7 linked regions of the Canis lupus familiaris genome follow. The protein of the gene in region 6 interacts with the protein of the main gene of each other region in a pairwise test. Links are inferred from orthologs where the notes say so. Each region holds a gene or a part of one and is shown on either strand. Other genes may lie near its edges. The genes, in order: SNX15, SNX12, SUCLA2, TUFM, MYG1, ARL6IP1 and SNX11.

Region 1 (4,226 bases), on a different chromosome or scaffold from region 6:
CTAGGTACATACTAAGAAAATATGGGTGCACATGTCCATAAAAAGAATTGCACATGAATGTTCATACAACTCGTAACAACTAAACATTAAAAAAAACAAAACAGAAAACATTTTTTTAGACATAACCTAGAAGTCTAGTAACAAGAAAATTAATAAAGAAATGGTGGTATATTTATACAAGGGGCTACCATCACATGGCAATAAAAAAGAACAAACTACTTCAACACGCAACAACATGGATAAACTCCAAAAAACATTATATAGAGAAGGAAAAAGGCCCGACACAAGCGAGTACTTGCTGTGTATATGATTTCATTTGTATGAGGCTCAAGAACAGACAAAAGTAATCTAGGGGAACAGAAGTCAGGACAACGGTTACCTCTCTGAGAGGAGGACTATAGATGAGAAACGTACAAAGAAACTCTCTGGGGGAGGGAAATGTCTATATCCTGATCTGAGCACTGCCAGTGCAGATGTATCCATATACAAAAATTATTGAGCTATACACTTAGGATCTACGTGCATTACTTACATAAATTATGTTGTGGAATTTTAAAAAATATTTTATTTATTTATTCATGAGAGACACACACACAGAGAGGCAGAGGCATAGGCAGAGGGAGAAGCAGACTCCATGCAGTGAGCCAGATGTGGGACTCGATCCTGGGACTCCAAGATCATGCTCTGGGCGTGAGGGTAGGCGCTCAACCTCTGAGCCACCCAGGCGTCCCTGTTTTGGTTTAGAAAATTTACAAGGCGAAACAACAAAAAACTGAGGAATACCAGCAAGTGACCGGTGAGACTGTGTGTAAATAATAAACTAGGTACACATAACTGCTTTTAAATATAAGGTTTATATGCAAGGATAAAGAAGGACATAGTGGCATTAATTCTCACCAAGATGGCAGATGAATGGGGATGGTAAAAGAGGGAAAATTACTTCTCTTTAAAAGTTATAATAAAAACATATCAAAGTAATGAATGTTTAAAAACTAACAGAAAGGGATCCCTGGATGGCGCAGCGGTTTGGCGCCTGCCTTTGGCCCAGGGCGCGAATCTGGAGACCCGGGATTGAGTCCCACATCGGGCTCCCGGTGCATGGAGCCTGCTTCTCCCTCTGCCTGTGTCTCTGCCTCTCTCTCTCTCACTCTCTCTCTCTCTGTGACTATCATAAATAAATTAAAAAAAAAAAAAACCAACAGAAAGATTTATCAGAAAAGAGTACAGTCCCTGGCCACCCTCCAGTCTAGTCTTCTTAGGGACTATCTTTCTGCATGTGTGTCTTGTTTTTATTTGACAAGGAAAAGACATAAAAGAAATAGGGAAAGTTCCTTTTAAACATCTAGGATTCTGCACCTAAATCACTTTGCAACTTCCCCTTAATAGTTATTAATGTACCATTTAATAGTCGCCTAATTAAAAATTCTTTTTTTTTTTTTAAGATTTTATTTATTTATTCATGAGAGCCACACAGAGAGGCAGAGACATAGGCAGACGGAGAAGCAGGCTCCCTGCGGGGGAACCCGATGGGGGATCCGATGTGGGGCCTATCCCAGGACCCTGGCATCACTGGCATCACAACCTGGGCCAAAGGCAGATGCTCAACCACTGTGCCACCCAGGTGCCTCTAGTTTAAAATTCTAAAAGTAATAAACAATTTACAGTGAAAAGTCTCCCCCAACCAGCTCTCCTATATATCATTCTGCAGATACTCTTTTACACTGTTTTTTAAATCCTTCTCGTGGTTCCCCCTATGTATCTGTAAAATGTGCCTATAACGTTGTTACTGCTCCATAATCAACTTCACTTTCTGTCTTCCAGCTCTGACTGCGAAGCTGCAGACCGACTTACTCTTTTTTTTTTTTCTGACTTACTCTTTAAAATTCTCTTTGAGCTGTAAGGATTTTTATTTTTAATTTTTATTTATTTATGATAATCACAGAGAGAGAGAGAGGTAGAGACACAGGCAGAGGGAGAAGCAGGCTCCATGCACCGGGAGCCCGATGTGGGATTCGATCCCGGGTCTCCAGGATCGCGCCCTGGGCCAAAGGCAGGCGCCAAACCGCTGCGCCACCCAGGGATCCCTAAGCTGTAAGGATTTTTAAAGTCATAGAGTTTTTTTGAAAGAAAATTAAAAATTAAACTAAAGAAAAAAAAGGGCTTTTATGTTAATATCAAACCAAGCGGTTCACACAAACCTAATCCAAGAAACTGGAGAACTAACATTTGCACGGAGCCAGAGTTTCCGTGCTAATTTGAAGAAATTCACAGCCCGCAGTGCTGACGCCACACGTAGGGCGTGGGAACCCGCCCCTCCCACTCCAAGAACTACGGTCCAAGCCCTTTTAAAAGGACAGCGCCCTCCCAGGGCCGCTCCACTGGACCGCTCCGAAGTAAGCCGGGGCTCTACCCGCAGGCTCCCCTTAAAGGGGAAATCCATTTCTGTCGTCTAAAAAGGGAGCGACCAGCGGCGCCTTGCCTTAAGGTAAAACACTGCCCCACCTCTTGTTAAAAGGGTAAAGGTCCCCACCCGGGCCCACCTCACCTGCGCGGTCACTTTATACTCGGTGTAGCCCTTGGGGTGGGTCCGGGGGTCCGAGACTGTGTAGTGTCGCAGGAAGTCGTCCTTCGCCTGGCGGGACATGGCAACCGAGCTGGAGTGGGGCTGACCGCCGGCCTCTGCCTCCTCAACGCCGCCCCCGCCCCTCCAGGTCAGTCTCCGCCGGGCCCCGCATCTCCCAGGCCTGCGCCCTTCTTCCTCGAGCCTAGGGAGCGGGTCGCAAGTGACGGCGCAGTCCTTGGCCTTGGCGTGCGGCCAGGGAGCGTCTAAAAAGTTCTCGGTGGCGGGTAAGGCGTGAACTAGGTAGTTTAAGAGATAAGAACCCGGGAGGTGGGGGAAAAAAAAAAAAAAAAAAAAAAGAACCGGGGAGGTGGGATCACTTAGCTGACAGGTGCTCGAGCTTTCCCCATCAAACGTGTCCAAACGACTTCTCCTATGCTTTCTGGTCCCCTTCGTTCATCCACTCACCCAACTTTTATTGTGCCGAGTGTGTGGCAGATGTAGCCAAATCATTTCCCTGTTTCCTTCCGTAGGATTCGCTAATTCATGTTTTCTGCAAGGGTAGGGGAAGCAAAAAAGAGCTCCAGAGAAGAGGATGGCCTCACAGGTTCTGAAGTCACACTTCTTACCAGTTGTATGAGTTTCCCTTAACTACCTGAGCTTAAGTTTCTCCTCTCTAGAACGTTTATAATGTTTCTAATAGAATCTACTGCAGTGGATGTTTCTTTCTTTCCCCTCCTGGTCTGTCCAGCATTCACCCCCACCTCTCTGTTAGCACCATATCTTTGTTTGGAGGTAGTTCTCTAATAGGTATAGCCCATCAGCCTCCTACTCCTGGAATCCAAAGGTGCCAGCTCCTTTCCTTGCCCCAAGTCCTGGGTAGGGGAGGAGGACTCTCCCCAGAAGCCTAATTCTTGAGTTTCTTGAGGGAGAAACAGAGTGCACAGTGCCTAGCAAGGGGACTGATTTGTTCATGATGTGCAATGCTGGCTGTGGGCTCAGCTGCCCAGCCTCTGGGCACCCTGTTTGTCAAACCTGATGTCTGGCATCCTGAGAGCTCCATCAGGATGCTGTCCCAAATCAGCGTTAGTATCTTAGTATCTTCCCAAGACCATCCTTTCTGCGGAAGGCAGTTGTGATCATTTCTGGGACAAGCTGTTGAGGACTCTGATGGATACCACCACAGCCAGGTTGTGAAGTTTAAAAGTGATAGCGTGGGTGAAGCGCTCAAGTGCTCACGGCCGCTCTTATGGTGGGCACCGTACTGCCAGTTTCCAGAAAGAGACAAAGGAAACTCCCAAATGAGACGGGTGGAAGCTCAGACATAGGGTAGATTATCCAGGAGGTGTTTGGGAGGAGACTTAGATGGGGTGGTGTCCCCTTGAACAACACACACCTCTAGAGATCCCTTTTATTTTTATTTTTTTAATTTTTAAAAAAAGATTTTATTTATTTATTCATGAGAGACAGAGAGAGAGAGGCAGAGACACAGGCAGAGGGAGAAGCAGGCTCCACGCAGGGAGCCTGATGCGGAACTTGATCCCGGGTCTCCAGGATCACACCCTGGGCCGAAGGCGGCGCTAAACCGCTGCCCGTAGAGGCCACTTATAGACATTATTTTTGCTCTCTCAAGCTCTCCCAGCAGGACTGGCTCCAAGTCTTCTTG
Region 2 (3,425 bases), on a different chromosome or scaffold from region 6:
ACTCATGTTCTCTCTTGCTCACTCTGTTCTCTCTACTAAGTAAATAAGTAAACTTAAAAAAAGAAAATAGTCTCAATTGAAGTATAAAACCTATGAAATAGTGTTTGTAGGTGGTATGTTGGAGGATGAGCACGTGCACACACGTTTACGTACACATATAGCATATGCATATATATGCATACACACACACAATAAATATATTCTGCCCAAATTAGAACCCACAAGCTTAAAACCCAAATTTGCTAAATCTAAACCACAGGTATTGAGCTCTATAGCTACTTCCTGCAAATAGATGCATTACCTCTGACAAAGTCAATTGGGAGTTGCAAAGATAGGTAACTATTGCTACAGGCAGCTAGGATTCTAGTTTTTTTTTTTTATTTAAATGTAAAACTTATCACCTCAGGACACTGACCATGTTGTATGATTTCTGCACAATACCAAGACTATCCTAGACACTAAAAAATACTATATTTACAACTTAAGCAGGAAAACAGAGGCTTGCTTCACAGTGGTTTAATATGAACAGAGTTGAATATGACATTGTCTGACAGAAGAATGAACAGTTTGCTGAATAAAAGCCCCGAGTCAGGATATATACACAGCAGAAATGGGGCCTCAGGCTTTCAGCACTTGTTGCACAATGAAAGAAGAACTCTTAAAAAAAGTCAATAACAGAAGATACAAAAGGCAGCAACAACACCAACACTGGGGAGGTGGGAAAGGGAGCAGAGACTCTCTAGGGGCTACTCAGCCCCTGGTACAGGCTCAGCAGGTGGAGAGCTGATCTGTCTCAGGGAACCTCAACATTTAGAAGGACTCCAAATCCTATGTCAAAATCCAATCCTAATTTCTCTTTTCAGGGTCTTGTCAGACTCCATAATCCTTTTCTCCAAGACCCCATATAGAGAATTCCAATCCTTCCATGATAGAGAGTCTAAGGGAAGAGTCCATACTTTTGACATGACACCAGTTAATTTGCTCCCACCCCACCACTGGAGATGGATATCAGGCCCCAGCAAACAAACCATCACCTCCCAGACAGAAGCCCAGGAAAGCTGCTTCAGACTCTAAGACTTGGGACATCCACACCCAGCTGCTATCTCTAGCTCAAATTCTGGGGAAGATGCTGGAGTTCTACAGGAAACATGTGCAGGCAGTTCAATAACCCTGTGACCAATCTGGGGAGGTCAGTGACAACTCTTGCCCCTGAGCCCCATTCAACAGCTCAAAGTGCTTAGAAGTCAGAGACTGTGGTTTGTTCACGTGCTTCTGCCCCATGGCAGCACTAAATGGGATGGGGGGAAGGGAGAATGGAAGGAGGAGGGTGGTGATACCCTTCCCTACCACTGGGAGGTACCTAGAAAATGATCCACTCCCACCCTTTGGGGAGTTACCTGGCAGTGGTGAGTTGCCCCCACCCCTCAAGCCACCAAACCTGCAAGGCTAACATGTAAAGTAGCAAGGGCTTGGGGAGGAACTGCTGGCCCATACTGACTCACCTGCTGATGAGCAAGAACAGGCAGCCAGAGCGGGGAGCCACAAAAGAGAGGGGCTAGACAATAAGAATTCTCCTACTGCCCTATGGCTTTCTTCTGACTGAAGCAGCCATGATGAGGGGCCCAGAAAACCCACACATCTTGCTCCACACAACAGACTGCTTAAACTCTAGGAGGATTTACTGCCATGAAAAGCAACAAGGAAGAGAAAGTAACAAAAGAAACTGTTGAGAAAACTGGGAGCAGGCCTAGAGAAAACAAGGAGAACATTTAGGTCTCTACCACCTTCCCCAAAAGGAAAAAGTTCATGCAGATAGGAAATGCAGGGTTGTTCCCTGCTCAGCGTTCCTGGTTAAACCTAAGAGTAAGAAAATCCCCTGGACTTGCAGCATCAGTATGTATCCAAGTGTATCCAGCACAAGACCCGCCCCCCCCATAAGATTAGCCTTCTGGCATGGGTAAATTGCCTTCTAATCCAATCCCCCCACCCGCACCCCAAGCAAAGGGCATCTGCCTGTGGTTCCCATCTCTCCTTAAAAAAGAGGATCATAGCAGTGTGCCCACGGTGTAGTCAGGTACCAAGAAATATAATGCCAGACAGTTTATCAGGCCAGGGGATGGGCAGCCAACTTCAGATCAAAGAAGGAGAGAGAGGCTTAGTGTAAAAATCAATGTCATTTTCAGCAGGAAAGTAGAGGGCAAGTGGTGAGAGGGGCTCCTACTGGCGCACCTTCCCGGGGACGTAGTTCCTGTCAATTGCCTCCTCCTGCAGGAACATGTGTAGGCAGCGTTCGTTCTGAGCCAGTGGGTGCCCAGCAATTCTATAAAGAGACCAAGATGGTTATCAGTAGTATTTGGGATCAGAGAGAATTCACAGAGTGACAGGGGTGTGGACAGGGGAAGAAGGGCAACGTCAGCTCTTTCAGAGGTTCAAGCAAGAAGAGGACAACAGGGCACCACTCCACCCTAATATTATATAGGAGAAGGGGGACAGAGAGGTAAAGCAGGGAGAAACCACCAAACACATCCAACATGCAGTACTTTCTCAGACCCTGAGGTACAGGATCAGAATTCTGCTCAAAGGAACGGAGTCTTACGATCCAGTCAGCTCAGCACACAACTAGCATCACATCTTATTACAAAGAGGAGACAGACAAAACATATAAAGACCATGATGGCAAAAGCAGCAAGAAGAGTCCCCAAGAACTTGGCTTACTTGTTAATAAACTGCTCGAGGCCCTGCCTCCTTTCTTCAATGAAGGACTCTTCAAAGATCCCTTCATCTCCTCGAAAAGGGAGCTGACGCTTCAAGGCTTTCCCAGGCAGTGGTGGTACTACAATCTGCAGGCAGATGCAAAATATCAACCACATGAGAGAGGATGAAGAGGGAATGAGGTGGTGAAACACTGTATACTTAATTTCCTATTAGGCAAGGTCTATCTTATCCCACAGCCAGCAACTTGTAAGAACTGAGACCATAAGAGCAGCCAAGATGGCTCAGGTCAAAAACCAACTGATTTTATGATAGGACTGGCCTTCTACCTCAAAAGAAAGAAAGGAAATAAACTCAAATATTCCTCACTCTCTTTAACAATCCACTAGCATCCACTAATTTAGCTAGGCCTTCCCTGACACTATACTTTACATTTTTAGCATCTATAGGAGTTTAAGTTATATGACTTTACTAGCCACTGATTCAAGTGATACGTTTTCTTTAAAATTTGTCCTGCACTTCACCGCTTTCAATTCAAGTTTAAAGGGTTATCACCCAGATCCAATGTGTTGGGATTTGATAGTGTTTAGCCCCCCCCACCCCCCCGCTGCCTTTAAGATTTTATAGACTATGATCTTATGCCTTCTCAGGCTATGTAGATATCCTCCTCCTAGGATCCCACACAGGGAATGGGGTCATACCTTACTATCTCG
Region 3 (3,998 bases), on a different chromosome or scaffold from region 6:
ATGCACATGTAATTTTTTTTAAAGATAAAGCAAATGTGGCAAAATGTTAAATTTAGATGAAAACAATATATGTGCTCACTGAAATGTTGCTGGAACATTCTACCAGTTTCAAACTTTTCAAAAAATAGCTCAAGGTAAACCAATGACACAAAGCTCTATTTTTACAATTTCTTTCAAATATCTATACTCACAAAGAATCAGTAGTACTCGTAGGGTAATGCTGGTAACTTTTATACCCCTTAGAGGTTTTTGAATATCTGAAGTATTGATAATCCTTTCCTTGTACCACTATAAGTTATGACTTGAAATACGACTTTTGAATTATGCTGGTAATAAATATTCCTGCATAATCACAAGGATTCCCACATTTAAGTCTTTGTCTTTCTCCACATTATCACTTAGCATATTCCTCCTGCCAAAAGGCCACCAATTCCTGGCCAAATCCCTATACTACCACCTATTTAGTCATTCACCTAGTTTAAATCATATTTATTAAAATGTGGGGAAAGGTCGTTACTGGGGGATCTGATTCACGACAACTGAGAAAATATTTTAAATTAGTTCATCTGCTCATAATCGGAACTATGTTACCAGATATATACTGGACAAAAGATACAGAGAAACTAGAAGGTGATCAGAGAATTAAACAAAATGTTTAAGAATGGGATCCCTGGGGGGCTCAGCAGTGGAGTGTCTGCCTTTGGCTCAGGCCATGCGTGACCCCAGGGTCCTTGGATCGAGTCCTGCATCGGGTTTCCCACAGAGAGCCTGCTTCTCCCTCTGCCTGTGTCTCTGCTTCTCCATCATGAATAAATAAAATCTTTTAAAAAAAAAGTTTAAGAATATTTGCTTAAAAAAAAAAAAAAGTATTTGCTAAACTCAATGTGTGACCTTGAATAAGTTTCCTAGGATCCTGAACCTCTGTGTCCTCAGGTACAGAAGGGGTTAGTCTTCAAAATTCTAAAGCTGTATTATTTAACGTGTGGGTGGGAAAGAAGAGATGTTACAAGACAACATATGAGGCACTTCCCTACAGAAAGACAAGAGGTTTTTAATAGAATATCCAAAAGGATAGATGAAAACATAGTTGTTCATCAAATCTTCATTTTCTAAAACTCATGAGAAGGAAGTTCAAGGCCAAAAAAAAAAAAATCACTTCTCCTGTTAAGAAGCTTACTCATGTAATTCACTGCCTCCAGGTTTAGACTATGAACAGCTTTAAAAAAAAAATCTAGATCAATTCATCTTTGTCATGTCTAAGGAGTTCATTTCGGAACAAAACGTAAAACTCTGAAATCGACTTGGAAGCCAATCACGCCCTTTCACAAGTTTCTTGGTGACAACGTTGAAAAAAAACAAGCCAAGGCTTCCTGGGGGAAAAAAAAAAAAAAAAAACAAGAGCAGATTGAAGTGCACAGGCTTTGGGGCCAGACACTTCTGGAATTACGCCTTAGCTCTGACTTCACCTGCTTTATGGCTGAGCCCCAATTACTTGTTCTCTAAGCCACAGTTTCTCCATCAACGATGAGAATATTGACAGCCCTTAAAGCGGAGCTGAAAAGCCTCCCTACAAGTAAGGGAGTAAAACTACAAGTAAGGGGCACCTCAGGGGTCGAGCATCTGCCTCTGGCCTAGGGCGTGACCCCGGGGTCCCGGGATCCGGTCCTGCATGGGTCCCGCAGGGAGCTGCTTCTCCCTCTGCCTGTGTCTCTGCCTCTCTCTCTGGATCTCTCATGAATAAATAAATAAAATCTTAAAAAAGAAAGGAAAGAAAGTACAAGTAAAATGCCTAGCTCAGCACCTGGCCCAGCTCAGCAGGTGTGGGGTCCAGCAGCGGGGGGGCTGGCCCACATGGTCACTGTCTGCCCGACAAGAGCTCAGGTTCAGGGGCAATAAGAGGGATGGGATCACACGCCCACAACCTGTGCGCGGCACACACTCCGGAACAAGAAAACCCAAACCAACCAACCAGAACTTGGGACCGCTGGGCTGCACTCTACCCAGAAATGAAGCGACCCAGAGGACCGCCGTCCGACCTCCCAGCTGGGTAAGCTGATGATCAACAGCATCTTGTCCCCACTGTTCACAAGCACAGGAGGAAACCGCCAGGCGGGGCAGGTGGGAAACTTGCCCGGCCTCGACCCCCCAGAAGGCCCGTCAGCAAGCGTTCCCGCCTATGACCGCTCCCAAGGGACCCGAGTCCCCCTGCAGGGCATCTCCCCCCCCCACCCCCCGCCCCTAGCAGGGCCGCGGGGCGACCTGCCTGCCTCTCCCCCCTCCCCCCCCGCACCTGCACGCAGAGGCGCCCCCAGCTCCCCGCATCTGCACCAGAGGCGCCGCCCGCCCCCCGCACCTGCACGCCCCTCCTCCCCGCCGCACCTGCGCGCAGAAGCGCCCCCCGCTCCTCCCCGCCCTCTCCCCTCCCCCTCTCCCTCCCCCTCCTCTCCCCCCTCCCTCCTCCCCCGCCGCCGCCGCCGCCGCCGCCGCCGCCGGGGCTCCCCCGGGCAGAGGACGAGCGCGGAGACGCGCGGTCAGGGCGGGCAGCCCTCCGGGACACGCCGCCCGTCGGCCCGGCTGGCGCCCCCGTGTCACCCAATGTCACCTATTGCGAAATGACCCCGAGCCGGGCCCGCCCGCAGGAGCCGGGTCTCCCACCTCGCCCTTTCTCCTGCCGACCCTCTCGAAGCGAGAGCCGGCGGGGCCGCAATACCTGGGCGGCGGCCCGCAGCGCCGGCCGGGACCCGCGGCTGCGGAGGGCGGCGGCGGCCAATCGCCGGCTGTAGAACACGGAGGCCGCCATTGCTGAGCCCGACCCCGTCCCCTCGCGGCGTGCGCAGGCGCAGTAGGCGCGGCGGCCGGCGGCCCAGACGCTCGGGCCGCGCGCTCCGGCCCCGCCCCTCCCTCCCTCCCTCCCTCCCTCCCTCCTCCCTCCCCTCCCCTCCCCTCCCCCTCCCCTCCCCCTCCTCCCTCCTCCCTCCTCCCTCCTCCCTCCTCCCTCCCTCCCTTCTCCCTCCTCCCTCCCCTCCCCTCCCTCCCCCTCCCCTCCCCTCCCCCTCCTCCCTCCTCCCTCCTCCCTCCCTCCCTTCTCCCTCCTCCCTCCCCTCCCCTCCCTCCCCCTCCCCTCCCCTCCCCCTCCTCCCTCCTCCCTCCTCCCCCGCGGCGGGCGGGCGGGCGCCTGGGTTCCCTGCATGCATGGGGGGGCGGGAGGGGGCGCAGGGGCCCGGTTCCCGGCGCTGGGGGCGCGAGTGACCTGTGCGGGGGGCGCGGGGGCGCGGGTTCCTTGCGCGAGGGCGCGGAGGGGGCAGGTTCCCTGAACGGGGGCGCGGGGTCCCAGGGTCCCTGCGCCGGGGGGCGCGGGGGCGCGGGTGACCTGTGCGGGGGCGCCGGTGACCTGTGCGGGTGCGCGGGGGGGGGGGGGGGGCCGGTGACCTGTGCGGGTGCGCGGGGGGGGGGGGGGGGCCGGTGACCTGTGCGGGTGCGCGGGGGGCGCGGGTGACCTGTGCGGGGGGCGCGGGGGCGTGGGTACCTGTGCGGGGGCGCGGGGTCGTGGGTACCTGTGCGGGGGGCGCGGGGACGCGGGTGACCTGTGCGGGTGCGCGGGGGTGGGGGGGGGCCGGTGACCTGTGCGGGTGCGCGGGGGGGGGCCGGTGACCTGTGCGGGGGCGCGGGGGGCGCGGGTGACCTGTGCGGGGGGCGCGGGGGCGTGGGTACCTGTGCGGGGGCGCGGGGTCGTGGGTACCTGTGCGGGGGGCGCGGGGGCGCGGGTGACCTGTGCGGGTGCGCGGGGGTGGGGGGCGGGTGAGTTGTGCGGGGGGCGCGGGGGCGTGGGTACCTGTGCGGGGGCGCGGGGTGCCCGGGTTCCCTGCGCGGGGACGCGGGGGGGGCGGGTGACCTGTGCGGGGGCGCGGGTTCCTTGCGCGGGGGCGCGGGGGGCGTGGGTTCCCTGTGCCGGGCCCCGGAGCCCGCCGCGCCCGCTCCGGCCCGCGGACCTTGCCCCG
Region 4 (3,999 bases), about 8.0 Mb from region 6:
GCAACATGGGTGCCTTGAATGTGAGCCTATACGAAGCATTTGCACAATGCCTGATACACACACAAAGCTCTAGCTCTGAGTTTTGGAGCGTGGGAAACAGCGTGTGGTATAATAAATAGTTTCCCTGTCTGTGCTCAGACCCTCCTGAATTATAATCTTCAAGGGAGGAATTAGGGGATCTATTTGAAACAAAAACCATGGGTGGAGTCTTAGGATCTGATGAGTTTGGGAAACACCATTTGGGTTAAGCACTGCCATTCTCATCCCAGGGTGATGAGATGATGGAGGTGAAAGTTAAAGGTCATTTGCGAGGTTTGCACTCACTTGTTCAGTCAACAGAAGTTTCCTGAGCGCTCACTGGGTGCCCCACCCTATGTTTGGTGCTGGGGACACTGCAGGAACAAGAAAGACTCAGGCTGCGGGTATGGGCACCTGCGGCGGGTCCCTCACCTCGGTACCATCTGCGTTAACTGGGTAGCGATCAAGGGAATTAGTCTCTGGCCTGCTGGGGGGCCCCAGGGGTGGACGGCCAAGTTGTCTCTCCCCGCAGGTTGTGAGCCCGAGGGCGGGTATTTGAGGGTCAAGGACTGTGGGGCCCGGAGGCCCCTGGGCTCATTGCTGCCTCCTGTCCAGCTCATTTCCTCTCAGGGCCAGATGTCAGAATCTCCCCACGAAGTAGATACTACTGTTCCCATTTTACAGATAAGAAAACAAAGGCTCAGCGGAGAGATGGGTCACATTTGCGCGCTACCCGCGAAAGGCTTCCAGGCCCGTGTGTCTCAGCCTGGCCGCAGGGCCTGATCCTACCTCCAGCGGCGGCTCAACGGCCGCCAGATCTCTCGCCAGACCCGCGCGGTGCGTCGGCCTCCCGGGGGCTCTGGGCCAGAACGCCCCCGAGCAGCCCGGGCCCTGGCCGCCGCCTCGGGCTCCTGGAGGCCGGCCCCCTCGCTCCCGACCCCGCCTAGCCCTACCTGACTCCCAGGCCCCGCGCAAACACAGCGCGCCGCCCCGGGAACTACAACGCCCGTGAGCCTCCGCGGCGCTGGGGAGAGACCGGACGCTCCACGTCGCCGCCAGAGACAACCGCTTTGCCCTCATCAGCACGCGAGGCCCGAGGGCGCTGCGGAAACCTCCCTCCCTCCCCGCCCTCGAGACACCGGCACCTTCCCGGCCTTGTCTTGGGTCCTACGCCCGGAAGTCGTATGATGGCCATGAAGACTGGAGGCTAGAGAGACCCAGACTTGTGCTCTGGGCCTTCACTTCCGCCGGAAGTGACCTCCAGTCCCCCGTGCCCTTCCCTTTCAGCACGCGCGGGCGCCCGGGACCCGGCACTCGGGGCTCGAGTACGACCACCATGGCGGCCACCACCCTGCTGCGCGCGACGCCCCTCTTGAGCGGTGAGGGGGCGGGGAAGGCCATGGCGGCGCGGGGCCACGTGGGGGTTGTCGCGAGCGGCCGGGATCGGACCCGCGCCCTGACTCCCAGCCTCTGCCCCGGCAGGTCTCGGCGCCGGCCCGACCTCCCTGCTGCAGGGTCTGTTGCGGCCGCTGAAGGCCCCAGCCCTGCCCCGCTTATGCCGTGGCCTGGCCGTGGAGGCCAAGAAGACCTATGTGCGCGACAAGCCCCATGTGAACGTGGGCACCATCGGCCATGTGGACCACGGCAAGACCACACTGACCGCGGCCATCACCAAGAGTAAGCGGGGATGGGTCGGGGGCGTCCGGAAGCGCCCGCCCAGCAGGAGAGACCTGGAGCTGGGGAGGTGCTGCTGGAAGTGTTGTGGCCCCAGGAGCCAGAACCCTGCGGGCAGTGGATTGCAAGATGCGGGAAACACATTTCTCCTGAACGTGAAAGATTTTGTGATGCATAAGCTGGGGAGCCGGAATGGCCTCTCTCTTGTCGTGGCCAGTACCCTGTAGGCAGAGGGTGCTTTACCCTAGAGAAGTCGCAGGGCTGGACCATGAGGCCTTGTTACATTTCCCTCTGACCCGAGTTACACCCACTGCAGGAGCTGAGGGTGTGTCATGGACACATTATTCTGGCCGACGGTCCTTTTGTATAGTAGGTGGGAGGGACTCGGTGTGGCTTAAGCCTTGCCTCCTTACCTCTGGTACTTCATCTGAGAGGCTTATTCTTCTCCTTCCCCTTAGTTTTAGCCGAGGGAGGTGGAGCCAAGTTTAAGAAATATGAAGAGATTGACAATGCCCCTGAAGAACGAGCCCGAGGAATCACAATTAACGCGGCTCACGTCGAGTACAGCACTGCTGCCCGCCACTATGCCCACACAGATTGCCCAGGTCATGCAGATTACGTTAAGGTGAGTGTTGCTGGGTACAGGGTCAGGGGCTGTCTCCCACCAGAAAAAATGTTGGACTTGTGGAGAGGTTAGGATATTCAGGGTGCATGGGTTGAGGTCCTGGATTTCTGGGCATAGCCACTCAAAGTGGGTGGTAAGGAGATAGCAGAAAAAGGTGGGCCTCCATTCCTAACTGCTGTGCTTGGTTAGACGGATTTGGAGCTGAGGTGAGGGGGTCCTTGAACTGGGCTGTTGTTTCCTCTCTTCCTACTCAGAATATGATCACAGGCACCGCCCCTCTCGATGGCTGCATCCTGGTGGTGGCGGCCAATGACGGCCCTATGCCCCAGACCCGAGAGCATCTGCTTCTGGCCAGACAGGTACTCAAGAGCCTGGGGAGGGGTGGAAAGAGAAAGAGTGGGAAATTGGGTCCATTCAGGATACTATTTCTCTCTCTTTGCCATCCACAGATTGGAGTAGAGCATGTTGTGGTGTACGTAAACAAAGCAGATGCTGTCCAAGACCCTGAGATGGTGGAGCTGGTTGAGCTGGAGATCCGGGAACTGCTCACTGAGTTTGGCTACAAAGGGGAAGAGACCCCCGTCATCATAGGCTCTGCCCTCTGTGCCCTTGAGGTGAGGGGGGGGGGGAGGGGGTCAGGCAAGGGCTGTTACTGGCATCGGATGGGGCTGGATGGGTGTCCAGAGCTTTGCTTTGAGTCTGGGGAGCATCTCTTAGTAAGAGGAACAGAATGACAATTTCAGAATCCTGTCATCTCCCCCCATAGCAACGAGACCCCGAGCTAGGCGTGAAGTCTGTGCAGAAGCTGCTGGATGCTGTGGACACTTACATCCCAGTACCCACCCGAGACCTGGAGAAGCCTTTCCTGCTGCCTGTAGAGTCCATTTACTCTATTCCTGGTGAGGACCCTGTTCACTTGCACCCTTCTCTAGCTATAGCCTGATCCAGAATACCTGATGTCCTGTCCTATTTTTTTCCAGGCCGGGGCACGGTGGTGACAGGTACACTAGAGCGTGGCATTTTGAAGAAGGGAGATGAGTGTGAGTTCCTGGGACATAGCAAGAACATTCGCACTGTGGTAACAGGTATGGGAAAGATGCCTTGGGACCCAGGGTCTGGCTCCAGGATTTCCCTTGCAGATCCTTTGTGCCTTCCCTCTGCCCTAGACCCTCCTCCCTTGTCTCGCCTCCCTCCTAGGTATTGAAATGTTCCACAAGAGTCTGGAGAGGGCAGAGGCAGGCGACAACCTGGGGGCCCTGGTCCGAGGCTTGAAGCGGGAGGACCTGAGGCGTGGCCTGGTCATGGCTAAGCCAGGATCCATCCAGCCCCACCAGAAGGTGGAGGCACAGGTGAGGGAGGGCTCCCAATGAGGATGGGCAGTGCTGAGCCAAACTGCCCCATGCAGAGGCAGTCTTTCCAACCAAGCATAGCTTCACCCTTGTTCTCTCTCTTGCAGGTTTATATCCTCAGCAAAGAAGAGGGTGGCCGCCATAAGCCTTTTGTGTCCCACTTCATGCCTGTCATGTTCTCCCTGACTTGGGACATGGCCTGTCGGGTTATCTTGCCACCAGGGAAGGTATGGTGGGTACAGGGAATGTGAAGAAGTAGAAGAGACACTCTTCGTTATCAGCTCTATCTACTCACAGTTCCAATTATGTGACAACATGGGTGACTTTTCCTTG
Region 5 (4,183 bases), on a different chromosome or scaffold from region 6:
AATAACCCAGGAAGTTTAAAAAGGAAGCCCATGTCCAATCCAAACCAATTAAATCAACCTAGGAAGGGGGGATGGGGAATTCTAGAGGATCGGTGTTTTTTAAAAAAACTCCCCAGGTAATTCTGTTACAGTCAGGATTGAGAACCATTGTTCTAAAGGTGAACATCTTATCCATGGTTATGTTTGACTCTTTTAATACTGTATTTGTTCATTTTTATGTCCCACTGGTTACCATATTTACTGACACATTGTAGAGTGTGAATTTGTTTGTGTGAGTATGTCCCACAGTGGATCACTGTTAAAAGTGGGTATTTTTTTTTTTTTTTTAAGATTTTGTTTACTTATTCATGAGACAGAGAGGCAGAGACACAGGCAGAGGAAGAAGCAGGCTCCATGCAGGGAGCCTGATGTGGGACTCGATCCTGGGTCTCCAGGATCACACTCTGGGCTGAAGACGGTGCTAAACCACTGAGCCACTCGGGCTGCCCAGTTTTTGGTGTTTTTAAAGATTTATTTATTTAACAGGTGCCTGGGTGGCTCAGTTGGTTAAACATCTGCTTTCAGCCCAGGTCATGAATCCAGGGTTCTGGGATCAAGCTTTGTGTTGGGCTCCCTGCTCTGTGGGGAGTCTTCTTCTCCCTCTGCTGGTCCCCCATCCCACTCATGTCTGAGCTTTCTGTGTCACATAAAATATTCTTAAAAAAAAATGTTTTTGAGAGAGTGCATTGGGGAGAGGGGGAAGGTAGAGTCTTAAGCCGACTCCACACTGAGCACAGAGACAGGCAGGGGGGCTCCTCTCAGGACCGTGAGATCAGGACCTGAGCCCAAACCAGGGGTACCACACTTAACCGACTGCACGCCCCAGGCACTCCTCAGTGTTTTGTTTTATTAACTGTTTAACTTTTTCTCACGGTTCCTAACTCTGGGTTCTCCACTTAAGCTCCAGACCAGGATCTGACTCCTCTTTCCCTCCCCCACAGCTGTCATGGAGATGATGAGCCAGAAGATTCAGCAGCTCACAGCCCTGGGGGCAACTCAGGCGACGGCCAAGGCCTGAAAGCTCGGTTCAGAAACGGTTCAGAAACGGGCCAAGTGCTCCTGCGGCGGGAGCTGGGACCTTGTGGGCGTGGCTTCCCGGGGCCCAGGACGGGAGGGGCTTGCTTCGTGCTAATAAACGTGCCCGCGGGGCCCAATGTTGGTGTCGGTGCTTTCCGCGGAGGCTGGAGGTGCGCGGGGGGCGGGGCGGAGGTGCTGCGGCCCCGCCCGGCACTGAGCGTCTAGAGGCGGGGGGCGGGGCCTGGTGGGCGGGCCCGTTGCCGTGGGAACGGCCTCCGGCGGAAGTGCGGCTGCGCGGGCGCCTCCCCTTCCGGGTCGTGACCCGCGGGCCCCGGAGGCCGCATGGGCCGCGGCTTCCCGCGCGCTCTCCTCCCGCGGCTGCTGCGGCCGCCGCCCCCCGCGCGGCCCGGACCCCGGATGCTCCGCGCGGAGCCCGTCCCGCCGCCCAAGCGACCCCGCGGCGGCCTCATGGCGCCGGCCCGAATCGGGACGCACGACGGCACCTTCCACTGCGACGAGGCGCTGGCGTGCGCGCTGCTGCGCCTCCTGCCCGAGTACCGGGTACGGCCGGGTCGCGCCCCCGCCCCGCCCCGCCCCCGGGCTCCGCCTGCGCGACCCTGGCCGCCCCCTCACCTCCTGTGCCCCGCAGGATGCGGAGATTGTGCGGACCCGGGACCCCGAGAAACTGGCAGCTTGTGACGTCGTGGTAGACGTGGGTGGCGAGTACGACCCTCAGAGGCACCGGTACGACCATCACCAGAGGTCAGTGCCCGGCGCCCTCGCTCTGACCTCGACTCCGGCGGCCCGAGGGCCCCGAGGGAGCCGAGACCCCCGTCAGGTCAGCGCTTCACTGTGCTCCGACCCGGGAGCGCGTCCTTTCCGGGGGGGCCTCCCGCCCTCCCTCCGGCCCCCAGCGCATCGCGCTCCCGCAGTGAGTCACCCTACCTCGTCCTCCGTGCTCTTTTTTCTTTTTAATTTTATTTATTCATGAGAGACAGAGGCAGCGACGCAGGCCGAGGGAGAAGCAGGCTCCATGCGGGGAGCCCGACGCGGGACTCGATCCCAGGTCCCCGGGGTCCCGCCCTGGGCCGACGGAAGGCAGGTGCTCAACCGCTGGGCCCCCCGGGCCGCCCATTCCTCCTCCTTTTCAAAGGAACTTGAGCCTTTCCAGTGTGCAGGTTCATAGCAGCACCCGTCTGCCCCAGGGCTTATACTTCCTAAAACTCTGCCCACGCCCTCCCATCTGGAAATCAAAGGACTGGGGCAGCCCCGGTGGCTCCGCGGTTTAGCGCCGCCTTCGGCCCAGGGCGGGACCCCGGGGACCTGGGATCGAGTCCCGCTTCGGCTCCCCGCATGGAGCCTGCTTCTCCCTCGGCCTGGGTCTCTGGTTCTCTCTCTGTGTCTCTGTATTTCTGATGAATAAATAAGTAAAATCTTTGGGGGGAAAAAAAATCAAAGGACTGAGTAAAAAACCCTCCCTCATACACCACATTGCTTACAGTGGTGATCTCTGAGAGATTGACGATTTTATTCGTAGGTATTTCTGTCCCTCTTTGTTAAGCATACATATTACATTCATAAATTCATAAATAATATGGAGGGGGAATCCTGGCATTTATAACCTCATCGCTTACCCTCCCTTCTCAGCCTTTTTTCAGAAGAGCTGACCCTGGTTGCACATCCCTTCCACTTCATTCAGTTCATCCATTTAGCTGGTCCTCTCCCAGTCTTTCCCTTGGAAATGCTTATGAAAAGGTTATGCTTATGAAAATGCCTTATGAAAATAAATCACACATTTATTAACACATTTTTAGGTGGGTTCTTTCTTTCTTTTTTTTTTTTTTTTTTTTTTTTTTTTTTTTTATGGAGAGAAAGTGCACACAAGCCCAGGGAGGGGCAGAGGGAGAGAGAGACTCTTAAGCAGGGTCTGTCTGTACCTGGTGGAGACCCTGAGGCCAGGGCTCAGTCTCGAAACTCAGATCATGACCTGAGTCGTGAAGAGTTGGCGCTTAACCGACTGAGCCACCAGGCACCCCAACGCTTTTGGAATATAAAGCATGTAATGAACACCCAACGGCCAATCTCCCAACCTAAGCTCTAGAAGGTTACCGTTATATTCGCACCAGTACGCAGGCACTTCTTCCCTGTCCCATGTCCCGACCTCCCCAGAAGTAGGCCGTGTCCTTAATTCTGTGTTCATCATACCCCCGTTTACTGTGTAGTTTAGCACATCTGTTTCTCTCAGTAGTTTAGTTTTGCTTTTTGGATTTTTACCTGGGGGTTTATTCTGTATTCATTTTTATGCCTTATGAATGTTTTATAGATGTTTTTATATACTCAGTAATAAAAAGCACAAAAAAATAAGCTCTAGGTGATTCTGATGGATGGGTATTTAGAAATTACGGCTGTAGCTTCTGCTTCCCTAAGATCTGTCATATCAGTAGAATTCAGGTGTGTCTACCTTTCTCACCCCTGCCAGCACTGCAGGTGGTCTGCATTTCCGCATGCTGCCTGGCACAGCGCTCTACCCTGAGCTTGTCCGCTCAAGTTCTCAGGTTCCCTACTCCCAGACTCTTCTATATGGTGGACGAGGCCTGCCATGATCTGGCCCTTGCTTACCCTTCTAGCTTTGCTTTTTTTTTTTTTTTTTTTTGCCACTCGTCACACCCAAGCTGCCTCTCTTGCAGTTCCGTGTAGAGACCTGTCTCAGCCATCATACATGTTGGTCCCTCTGCCTGCGATGCCTTTTCTCCTTCGCCTTTTGTCTGGCCGGTGAACACCTAATTCATCTTTTAGGAATGACCTGAAGTCGCTCTTCTCACCCCACCCCCATTGCCTTGTTTATAACCTACCAAGAGCATTAGCCTGGTGGTGTGCCTGCGTGTCTGCCGGTAGTAGGTGAACTTGAAGGCAGGGACATGGTCTCAGGGTTTGCTCTATCCCTGATGTGTAAAACACGAAGCCTGGCATGTAGAGAGCAGTGAATTCACCATTGTCAAATGAAAGCATGAACAGACTCCAAGCTGAGGTCCGTGTTGATCCCCATGGAGAAGCTGAAGCTCCCGCACCCAGGCGCTCTCCTCCCGACTCCTGAGCGTTCTCCAGCCCCGCCCCCTCGTGCCTATAC
Region 6 (4,214 bases):
CTTCAGAATATGATGACATCATAGCTGCAATGGTTAATGTAAACATCAAGAGACAAAAGCCCCTTGGGGTCCTCAATACTTTTTAGGAATATAAAGGTTCTTTAGGCCAAAAAGTGTGAGAGCCACTCATTTATTCAACTGGTTTAGGTTACTGAAAACTAGGAGAACTGCTCCAAGAAAAGGCATTCTTTACAGATTATAGGTTACAAAAGAGGCTGTGTGTTACCTGAGCCCTTATTAATAACAAGCACAATCCACAATAATTTAATAGCTCACTTACAGAAACAGCAAAGAAACCACACCCATGATGGCAGGTGGAAACCAGGCTCTTTCCCATCTGAGGACTTTATCAGCCATCAGCATCACTTCTCCCCATCCCTGCAGCTGCTCTTCCAGACTTGCAGTCTCTGCAGCCTACACAAGACCAACATGTAAAGTGATCATTTTACCACTCCCAACATTTCTGTGCTTCTCAGTTAATTTTTTTTAAGACACCAAGAATGTAAAAGAGCCCTCAATCAAATCACTATCTTAGTTTCTAAATAATTCTGCAATTTTGGTAGCAAGACAGAAATCAATTAAGGGGGGGGGAGGTGGCAACCTACCATTTAACAGTCACCAAGTCACCAAGTCCAAGCACTGGGCTACTCTTCATACATAATGTTAACAATCCTAGTAGAGGCCCTCAAAGTAGGGATAAGAGACCTTATCCTTATAAGACCTTATGGATAAGGTCCATCTAAGTGACCTTAGATGGGTAACCAGCTTTCTCAAAGTCATGCACTAAGTGGCAGCACCCAAAATATAAAATTAGATCACTTCAAATGTGCTCATTTTTCAGGTGGTTAGAATTGATTGATCTGTTGTTTTGTCATCTCATTGATTTATACTCCTACTTCTAAATCCATTAAGAAAGCCTCTCTCTGAACAGCATTCAATTTTTAAAATAGCGCTGTGTAATGGAATCCTTTAGATGCTGGCATCATTTGCACAATTAAGTAAAACTTACTTTCACCAAATTACATGAGGCATCTCAAGCTCAGTGTATCTCCATACAATGAGTGCTTCTTACACTTACCAGAACATTTGGTTAGACTTCAAATTTCTCTGCAAGACTGACAACCTAGCTGAAAGTAGACTTCTGGAATGAGCTAATGTGGCAAAAAAAAACACAAAAAAACAAAAACAAAAACCCTATACTGATTTTGGTACAGGAAAAAAACTAGAAAGAAACCCACATGCCCTTATAAATGTTATCATGGGGAAATATACAAAAGAGAGAGGACAGGACAGCCTAATCTTACTAGAGATGCTATCTATCTGTGCCACACTGATTACTTGGGGGACTTCAACATTCCTGACTTTATATACACCACGCTTAATATAGTTAAACAGAAGATTACTATGTGCCAGAAGCTCTAAGTATTTTATATGCTTATACTTTAATTAATCCTCCCAATGAATTCAAAGGATGGTATTGTTACTCGCCTCATTTTACAGATGAAGTAACAGATACATGGAGGTTAAGAGATCTGAACCCAGGAAATCCAAAGCCAAGGGCCTTGTTCTGCTTAAAGTTACACTGCTTTCTGCTGGAAAGAGCAGCTGAGCTTCGGGCCAGGCTCGGTCACCTCAACAAACTGTGTGAATTTGCTGGACAATTTCTTTGTGCTTCGATCAATTCCCCTTAACTGGAACTTGGCCGGAGCTAACTCGGCTAGCCACAGACAAGTGTGCTGGCATGTGCGTTACAGGAACAGGCCGTGCATTTCTAAACACCAATGCAAAACGAAAATCTGGCACCATCACGGCTGCCCTGCAAGGTCACCAAACTCGTTAGCACCCGGGCTCTTGGAATATCCAACGTCAAGGATGAAATGCTGTTTCGTTGTGGCAACGGACAAAAAAAAAAGAAAAGAAAAAGGCAAGGATTTCTCTCGTTTTTTGCCTAGATCGCGCCGTGAAAACAAGTAGGTTAGATTTATCCGCCCGTGAGACACCACTGCAGTTCCTTCAGACCCCTGCTTATTCTAAAGTCCACCTGTCTCTCTCTCTCTCACACACACACACACACCCCTCCCTTGCAAACTCCAGGCAAACCCAAGGTCCTTCCCCACTGTCCTTCCAGCTGGACCTCTAATCCCAGTTCCCCGCGGTGAGTTCACAGCCTCCCTGCGGGTTTAAGCTGCGCCAGCTCCAGCAAATTCTCGCCAGTGGCCCTTTGACCCTCCCCGCCCCTCTCCCGTCCTCCCCCCTCCCCCCACCCCTGCCCAAGTATTGGGGCTAAAGAACGAAGGGAAGAGGAGGGGAACCCCGTAGAAGAGCCTGGGGGCCTGGGGTTCAAAGCGCTCGACAGACAGGCCCCTGGAGGCCTGCGCCCCAGGCTCATCGCAGCCCCCCCTTCTCCCACTTCCTCCCCGATCCGCGGGGGCTGGTCACGCGCCGTCCTCACCTCGCCCCGTAGCTGCCCCACGGGGTGTTAAGGGCCGCCCGGTCCGGGACCGCCCCGCTGCACCCACCCGGGGCCGAGGGGGAGGAGGGCCGGGCCCACCACGGTGGGAGGAACGAGGCCGCAAGAGCGCTGCCAGGCTGAGCCCCCGCCCAAGCCCGGAGGCCCCTGCCTGCTCCCCTCGCGACTCACCAGGAGGTTGGTGCTGCGATTATCTCCCTCCGCCATCGTCCCTGAAGTGCCGCCCGAGCGAGCGCAAGCCGGCCCCTCCCGCACACAGCGAGCTCCGCGCCGAGACCCGCACGGCGACCCAGGCGCGAAGGGGACGCCCCGCAGGCCGCTTATATACACCAGCCAGCCTTCCCGACAGGCCCCGCGAAGCCCGCTCCTCATTGGGTGGATTGAACTCAAGCTCCGGGGCGGCCCGACCAACCGCGGCCCGGCGCATGGCTTGAAATCGGGGTCAAAGGAGACCGAGGCCGCGCAGGCCGAGGGGGCGGGGACAAGGAGCGGCCAATCAGCGCCCAGGAGCTGTGGGACGCCCCGCCCAGGCCTTTCGGGAGCGGTTGAACTGCCGCGGCGGGGCCCCCCCGCGCCCCGGTCCCGGGCTGCGTGACCCGCGGTGGCCGCCCCGCCGCGCTAGCTCTCGGGATTTAGTCCTGGGGGAAACAAAACACGCCCCGCGTTATCAGGAGGACGGCGCGGTGACGCCGACCTCGCTGCGATCGGTGGCCCTCGCTGCGCCCCCGCGCGGCCACTCGGTGGCATTCGCCGCTCGGGCCGCCCCGGCCGGGCCCCCGTCCCCCTCCCCTCCCCCTCCCCCGGCCCCGCGGCTCGGACGCTCGTGCCCACCCCGGGAGGAAAGGGCAGTCCGCCGCGTGCAAGCAATCAGGAGTAAGGCCTTAGCTGGATGGAGGAAGGGGCGGGGGAGGAGGAGCGCAATCTGGGCTTAGTTCTCCAACACGGGGGGTGGGGGGTGGGGGTGGGGAGGGGAAAAGCACCGATTTCTCCAAAGTCGGCTTCTTCGTGGGCGTCTCCAAGGGAACTCCTTGGTGGGGTGGGGCGGGGCGGGGCGTTTGGGTTGCTTAGGAGACGACGACGCCCCTCCGCGTGAAGGGTCAGGTGTTGACCGAACCTCCTTCCTTCCTGAGATGAGAGGTCTTGCTAAGCAAGGAGGTAAACCGCCCTCCTCGGGGGTGGGGGTGGGGGTGGGGTGGATTCGTAAGCAGTTTAGCACCAGACGAATGACTCCCACGTCTTTTCTCTGCAGGATTTCAAAATGCATTAAGCGTTTTTTTGGTTTTCCGTAATAGGAACGAAACCATGCCAGTGGTTATAAATGGGACATTGACCTGTTGACCCGATCAGAGAGGTTTCCGGAAGACCTCACCGTGGCTTTTTACGTTCCGGCCTTTTAAGTCCTCTTTATGATGACCTGTAGTATGCCACAAACGTGACTTTAAGAGACTACCCAGGTTCCTAAGAGTTTGAGAGGACACGGCTCCAGAGCTCGGTGAATTTCAGGGAAGGGTGTGACTTTTTACCACGATGTCGGAGGGTAGGGGCGGGGAGACGGGGAAGAAGGCCTTTGCGAAGGAAGGGGACTCTTCAATAAAGTGCCACTTTGGGGAGAAACTAGGCTTTTGTAGGTAAGATGCAGGCCGTGGATAGATACAGAGATCGCGTCTGGGGAGCCTTTAGAGCTGTGAAGTTTGTAGAACAGGCCCTCCCCCTCCCTCTTCAAAAGAAAATGAAAAGGTCTTAA
Region 7 (4,293 bases), on a different chromosome or scaffold from region 6:
CACAGGACAGAGGCCGGCTCTTGCGCTAGACTGTGGTCGCGGTTGTGATTTATCTTCCAAGTGTAGCGAGCGACAAGTTACGGAGGGACGACATGGAGCAGAGCTGCTGGGTTGGGAACTTGGTCAGGAGAGGGAGCATCCTCTACCACCTGTGGGTGTTTAGGAAGGAGAGCTTTCTGGGTCCTCTGGCATCAGGGGCTCAAGAATGACTGAGAAGGGATTAGGAGTCTTGGTAGCTCAAAACACTTATCACCTGAGGTTTTTTTTTTTTTTAAGATTTTATTTATTTATTTGACAGAGAGAGCAAGAGCAGGCAGAGGGAGAGGGAGAAGCAGACGGTAAACAGAGAGCCTGATGTGGGGCTCGATCCCAGGACCCTGGGATCATAACCTGAGCCGAAGGCAGAGGCTGAACTGACTGAGCCACCCAGGCTCCCTACCTGATTTGTTTTTTAACCTGCCTTTTTGAAGTAGTTTAAATGGGAGTGAGGATGGTGCTGAGAAAGCCCTGAATTGCTACGTTGAATTGTTAGGACATAGGAAACCTTTACAAGGAATCTTTGTAAAAAGCAAACGACTGCGTTCTCAGAGAGATTGGTGTTGGTAGGGGTGGAGAAAGTAAAGGGAGCTTCACATGTGGTTGAAAGGACCCAGGAAATGTAGTGCCACGTGAGATGCAGACATAGCTGAGAGGATCGCTGACTTATCCTTATTGGCATGACCACTCTATTTCCCAGATCACGAGCTAGAGTTAGGAACTTCCTTCTTCCCCTCCCTGGACAGAACTGAGCTTCATTTCATTTCCTGCTGAGGAGTGGCATCTGTGTGGAGGAAGCTGGTGGGAAGGGTAATTGCTAGAAATTATGACTCCGAATCTAGGTTTTTGTGTTTGTTCCAATGTCCAGTGTTTTTAAGGAAAAGTTAAAATGGAAACTTTGTTAGTGCCCTTTAAACTTAGATTTAAGTATACAGCATCTTGGGGCAGGGGTGCTAGGATTTTTTTTTTTTTTTTTTTGAAAGCCAGTTTAAGCCATTCGTTTCCGAGTGGTGTTAGCTCCAAAGGAAAGGAGAGAAACTTATATTTGCAGATGGTTCAGGGTCCTAGACAAACTCTTTTTTTTTTTTCTTCCCCTAGACAAACTCTTTTTGAGCCTGAGAATGATGATCACTTGGTTACTAAATCATGGTCCTGAATTTGACAAACCTTTCAAGGCACAGGAGATGTGTGAGGTCCACTGAGTGTGTGGATGATAATTGCCTTGTCATTTTGCCCATCGTTACTTTTGTGAAAAGAGATTTCAGAATATTTAACTCTCTGCTCTTGTGCTGGCAATTTACCAAATACCTGAAAAGAGAAAAAAATTAAAAGGTTAGTTGTTCACCAGCCGGTCTGTTCTTTTTGGTAACAACCTTTTTTTTTTTTTCTTTAAAGATTTTAAAAATTTATTTATTCATGAGAGACAGAGAGGCAGAGTCAGAGACACAGGCAGAGGGAGAAGCAGGCTCCATGCAAGGAGCCCGACGAAGGACTCCATCCCAGGACTCCAGGATCACGCCCTGGGCTGAAGGCGGCGCTAAACCGCTGAGCCACTTGGGCTGCCCTGGTCACAACCCTTTGACTGCTTACATTGGGGACGTTACACATGGGTTGGTAAGGAATTGGAATTTCCTTTCAGTTCAGGATGCCTTTGTGATGGTGACTGCATCAGATGAAAAATCAGATTGTTGGCAAAAGTGCAACGATGGTATCGCAGTCACAAAACCTCTGGCTTGCTCAACGGTGTAGTCCAGTCCTATCATACACCATGCAGTTTTATCCCTGTGCAGTGGCTGTGTGTGGAGAGACCTTCTGGTGTACTGGAAAGATTTGGGAAAGCTGTTTGCTCTGCTAATTTTGCGGTGTAAATGAGTTCCCCTTCTCTTGAAACGTTAGCCTTGTGTTAGCAAAACATAAAATAGAAGGAAACTCATTACACGCGGTTCTAATGGTAAGGCAAAACTAATAAGAGAATGTGTTTAAAATTAATTGTAGGCCTGTAAAAATGAGTGGGTGTGTGAATGGGTATGGGGGGAGGAGAGAGAGAGCTTAGAGATAGTCTTGTTTTCCCAGGAGCCGGCCTGGATCATTTGTTGGCAGTACATATTGGCTGAAGTCAGTTTTCATTTCAAGGTAAATTGGAAAGGGAAATTAAACCTTATTGTTCCGCTCTTAAGAGAGGAGAAGGGGGTGGAGGCGGCAGCCAGGGTGGATGCTGTTGGAGTGGTTCTAGGAGTAACAAGATTAGTGCTGTATTTTAACAGAAGGTGACATCATGGGCCCCTTTGGACTGGAGTAACCCAGCGCTGGAGGCTTCATGGGCCCCTTGTTGGAGTGGGCGATGTCGCTGCACATGTAAACTGCCACACTGGGGGAAATCAGGGGCTTAGGCTTTAATGAATCTTTACAAAGGATCGGAAAACATCCCGAGCCGACCTGTGCAGCTGTGGGGTACTTGGGCATTGGTACAAACCGGATAGCATATCGAGAGAGGAAATGACTGGAACCATTGGCTTGGGTTCTGGAGAACAGATTAGAGAAGGGAAGGTCGAAACTGGGCAGCCCATTCAGGTGCTCCCTGAGCTCCCCAGCTCCCTGATTGACTTCTGGGTAGGTGATGACTTAGCAAGACAGACTTCAGAGCCTTGGTGTTGGTGGGGCTTAATTGTCTCTAAACTGCCAGGAGGGGGCGGTGTCAGGCTCACTTGCAGAGGCTCTTGTGTGCCCCAAAGAGACTTTCACCTGCAGTCCTTAGCAGAAAAGGTCTGACCTTGAACTTGCCTATTCTGGCTACCTGACCTGAACGCTTCACAGACCTAAACATGCCTTGTTGGGCTAGACGTGGCCTAGGTAAAGGTCCTGGCTGTGGTCTGCAAAGAGGGGCAAATCCCCTGGGGCTTTTAGCTTGGCACTGAGCTAAGGTATGGGAATTTTTTTGCTTCCTCTTAAGTTTAACACAAAAACAAAAAAAGGTGCCTGGGTTTTCCCAGGGGGGAATCAATGAAAATTTTTCTTGGTAAAGAATGATAAAAATAGAGGCATGCTAACAATGATTGTTCTCCTGTCCTCTGTCCCCCATCAGATGTTTTCTTCCAATGGGCTTTTGGTTTAGGATGTTGGAAAACCAAGAGCAGGAGGTAAGCGTGTGGTCTCCAGGAAACAGGTGGGTAGAAGTTTGATGGGACTTGGGTAAAGATGCCTATCATTGCTGCATGGTGTTCTAATGACAGGAATACCTTGGGGGTTCTGATGAGCTCAACGGCAGAAGAAGGATATCCATAGTAAAGCCATTCCTGGGAAATGAGGTTCCATTTTCACTAACTTTCCCCATTCATTGGAATGTTGTTGAATGTCAGATTCACAAGGGCAAAGATTTTTGTCTCTTGTTTATGTATTACTCCCAATGCTTTAGAACTGTCTGACACATAGTGGGCGGTCAATAAATATTTGTTGAATTGAATGAATAAATAAATGAATGGTTGGTGCTGATTGGAAAAATCTGGCAACCTGTATTGTCAAAGCTGCCTTATTATGTGGCCAAGCTGAATCTGAAGGAGCCTTTCTTACCTCCAGGAGGTGATCACCGTGCGTGTTCAGGACCCCCGAGTGCAGAATGAGGGCTCCTGGAATTCTTATGTGGATTATAAGATCTTTCTCCACGTAAGTGCATCAGCCTTCTGTACGGGGTCAGCACTCTCCAGGGCTGAGGGCTAGAGCAGAGGTGGAGCCTGTTTTTGGATATTTTGACAGTCCTGAGACAGAGGAAAGAGAGAGAGGTGAGGAATGAGCTTGGGGTATGCTGTAGAGTTGCTTTCAGTCTGCCTGGTGGCACCTTGCTCAAGTTGGAGCACCTGATCTGGACTGTGGCCTGGTGGCTTGGATCCTCCGTCAGAGTGATGATGGGGATATGTGTGAATTTGGTCTTTTTCTCCTTGGCTTTTTTCTTTCTCACATGCTTCCTCCTGTAGACCAACAGCAAAGCCTTTACTGCCAAGACATCTTGTGTGCGTCGCCGATATCGTGAGTTCGTGTGGCTGAGAAAGCAGCTGCAGAGAAATGCTGGTTTAGTGTGAGTTTGCTTCTGCTTCTTTCTTGGGTCTGAGACTGGTTTTTCAGGCATGTACGTGAGAACCAGAGTTTACAATAACGAAAACTTGGCAATATGTCAGGCACTCAGGAAATCAAGACATGTGTTCTTAAATTATGTTTTCAAGTCAGTGGAAAAAGTAAAGACAAAAGTTCTAGCATTTTGACCTA

What was found.
Region 1: the proteins of ARL6IP1 (region 6) and SNX15 interact in binary tests that used the Homo sapiens proteins (3 or more experiments, as listed by UniProt). The two-hybrid records come from large-scale screens. The link is inferred for Canis lupus familiaris from reciprocal best matches to the Homo sapiens genes ARL6IP1 and SNX15.
Region 2: the proteins of ARL6IP1 (region 6) and SNX12 interact in binary tests that used the Homo sapiens proteins (3 or more experiments, as listed by UniProt). The two-hybrid records come from large-scale screens. The link is inferred for Canis lupus familiaris from reciprocal best matches to the Homo sapiens genes ARL6IP1 and SNX12.
Region 3: the proteins of ARL6IP1 (region 6) and SUCLA2 interact in binary tests that used the Homo sapiens proteins (3 or more experiments, as listed by UniProt). The two-hybrid records come from large-scale screens. The link is inferred for Canis lupus familiaris from reciprocal best matches to the Homo sapiens genes ARL6IP1 and SUCLA2.
Region 4: the proteins of ARL6IP1 (region 6) and TUFM interact in binary tests that used the Homo sapiens proteins (3 or more experiments, as listed by UniProt). The two-hybrid records come from large-scale screens. The link is inferred for Canis lupus familiaris from reciprocal best matches to the Homo sapiens genes ARL6IP1 and TUFM.
Region 5: the proteins of ARL6IP1 (region 6) and MYG1 interact in binary tests that used the Homo sapiens proteins (3 or more experiments, as listed by UniProt). The two-hybrid records come from large-scale screens. The link is inferred for Canis lupus familiaris from reciprocal best matches to the Homo sapiens genes ARL6IP1 and MYG1.
Region 7: the proteins of ARL6IP1 (region 6) and SNX11 interact in binary tests that used the Homo sapiens proteins (3 or more experiments, as listed by UniProt). The two-hybrid records come from large-scale screens. The link is inferred for Canis lupus familiaris from reciprocal best matches to the Homo sapiens genes ARL6IP1 and SNX11.

What each region holds. Positions count from the first base shown.
Region 1 is NC_049239.1:52,668,194-52,672,419, forward strand, and holds the start of SNX15 (sorting nexin-15), read right to left. Parts: upstream 2,801-4,226; 5' UTR 2,645-2,800; coding exon 2,546-2,644; intron 1-2,545. UniProt on the Homo sapiens protein: May be involved in several stages of intracellular trafficking. Overexpression of SNX15 disrupts the normal trafficking of proteins from the plasma membrane to recycling endosomes or the TGN.
Region 2 is NC_049260.1:55,636,610-55,640,034, forward strand, and holds the end of SNX12 (sorting nexin-12), read right to left. Parts: coding exon 3,414-3,425; intron 2,841-3,413; coding exon 2,716-2,840; intron 2,321-2,715; coding exon 2,218-2,320; 3' UTR 501-2,217; downstream 1-500. UniProt on the Homo sapiens protein: May be involved in several stages of intracellular trafficking.
Region 3 is NC_049243.1:3,404,670-3,408,667, reverse strand, and holds the start of SUCLA2 (succinate--CoA ligase [ADP-forming] subunit beta, mitochondrial), read right to left. Parts: upstream 2,801-3,998; coding exon 2,711-2,800; intron 1-2,710. UniProt on the Homo sapiens protein: ATP-specific succinyl-CoA synthetase functions in the citric acid cycle (TCA), coupling the hydrolysis of succinyl-CoA to the synthesis of ATP and thus represents the only step of substrate-level phosphorylation in the TCA.
Region 4 is NC_049227.1:18,524,284-18,528,282, reverse strand, and holds the start of TUFM (elongation factor Tu, mitochondrial), read left to right. Parts: upstream 1-1,199; 5' UTR 1,200-1,354; coding exon 1,355-1,397; intron 1,398-1,500; coding exon 1,501-1,695; intron 1,696-2,150; coding exon 2,151-2,317; intron 2,318-2,571; coding exon 2,572-2,676; intron 2,677-2,766; coding exon 2,767-2,931; intron 2,932-3,083; coding exon 3,084-3,216; intron 3,217-3,297; coding exon 3,298-3,402; intron 3,403-3,514; coding exon 3,515-3,666; intron 3,667-3,773; coding exon 3,774-3,893; intron 3,894-3,999. UniProt on the Homo sapiens protein: GTP hydrolase that promotes the GTP-dependent binding of aminoacyl-tRNA to the A-site of ribosomes during protein biosynthesis. Also plays a role in the regulation of autophagy and innate immunity.
Region 5 is NC_049248.1:44,742,651-44,746,833, forward strand, and holds the start of MYG1 (MYG1 exonuclease), read left to right. Parts: upstream 1-1,383; 5' UTR 1,384-1,398; coding exon 1,399-1,617; intron 1,618-1,705; coding exon 1,706-1,818; intron 1,819-4,183. Other genes in the region: PFDN5 (prefoldin subunit 5), read left to right, coding at 981-1,057. UniProt on the Homo sapiens protein: 3'-5' RNA exonuclease which cleaves in situ on specific transcripts in both nucleus and mitochondrion. Involved in regulating spatially segregated organellar RNA processing, acts as a coordinator of nucleo-mitochondrial crosstalk.
Region 6 is NC_049227.1:26,551,224-26,555,437, reverse strand, and holds the start of ARL6IP1 (ADP-ribosylation factor-like protein 6-interacting protein 1), read right to left. Parts: upstream 2,801-4,214; 5' UTR 2,678-2,800; coding exon 2,642-2,677; intron 415-2,641; coding exon 281-414; intron 1-280. UniProt on the Homo sapiens protein: Positively regulates SLC1A1/EAAC1-mediated glutamate transport by increasing its affinity for glutamate in a PKC activity-dependent manner.
Region 7 is NC_049230.1:24,345,074-24,349,366, forward strand, and holds the start of SNX11 (sorting nexin-11), read left to right. Parts: upstream 1-1,493; 5' UTR 1,494-1,642; coding exon 1,643-1,650; exon of another isoform or gene 1,651-2,109; coding exon 2,110-2,169; exon of another isoform or gene 2,170-2,557; intron 2,558-3,118; coding exon 3,119-3,173; intron 3,174-3,266; coding exon 3,267-3,341; intron 3,342-3,603; exon of another isoform or gene 3,604-3,609; coding exon 3,610-3,696; exon of another isoform or gene 3,697-3,788; intron 3,789-3,887; exon of another isoform or gene 3,888-4,004; coding exon 4,005-4,105; intron 4,106-4,293. UniProt on the Homo sapiens protein: Phosphoinositide-binding protein involved in protein sorting and membrane trafficking in endosomes. Regulates the levels of TRPV3 by promoting its trafficking from the cell membrane to lysosome for degradation.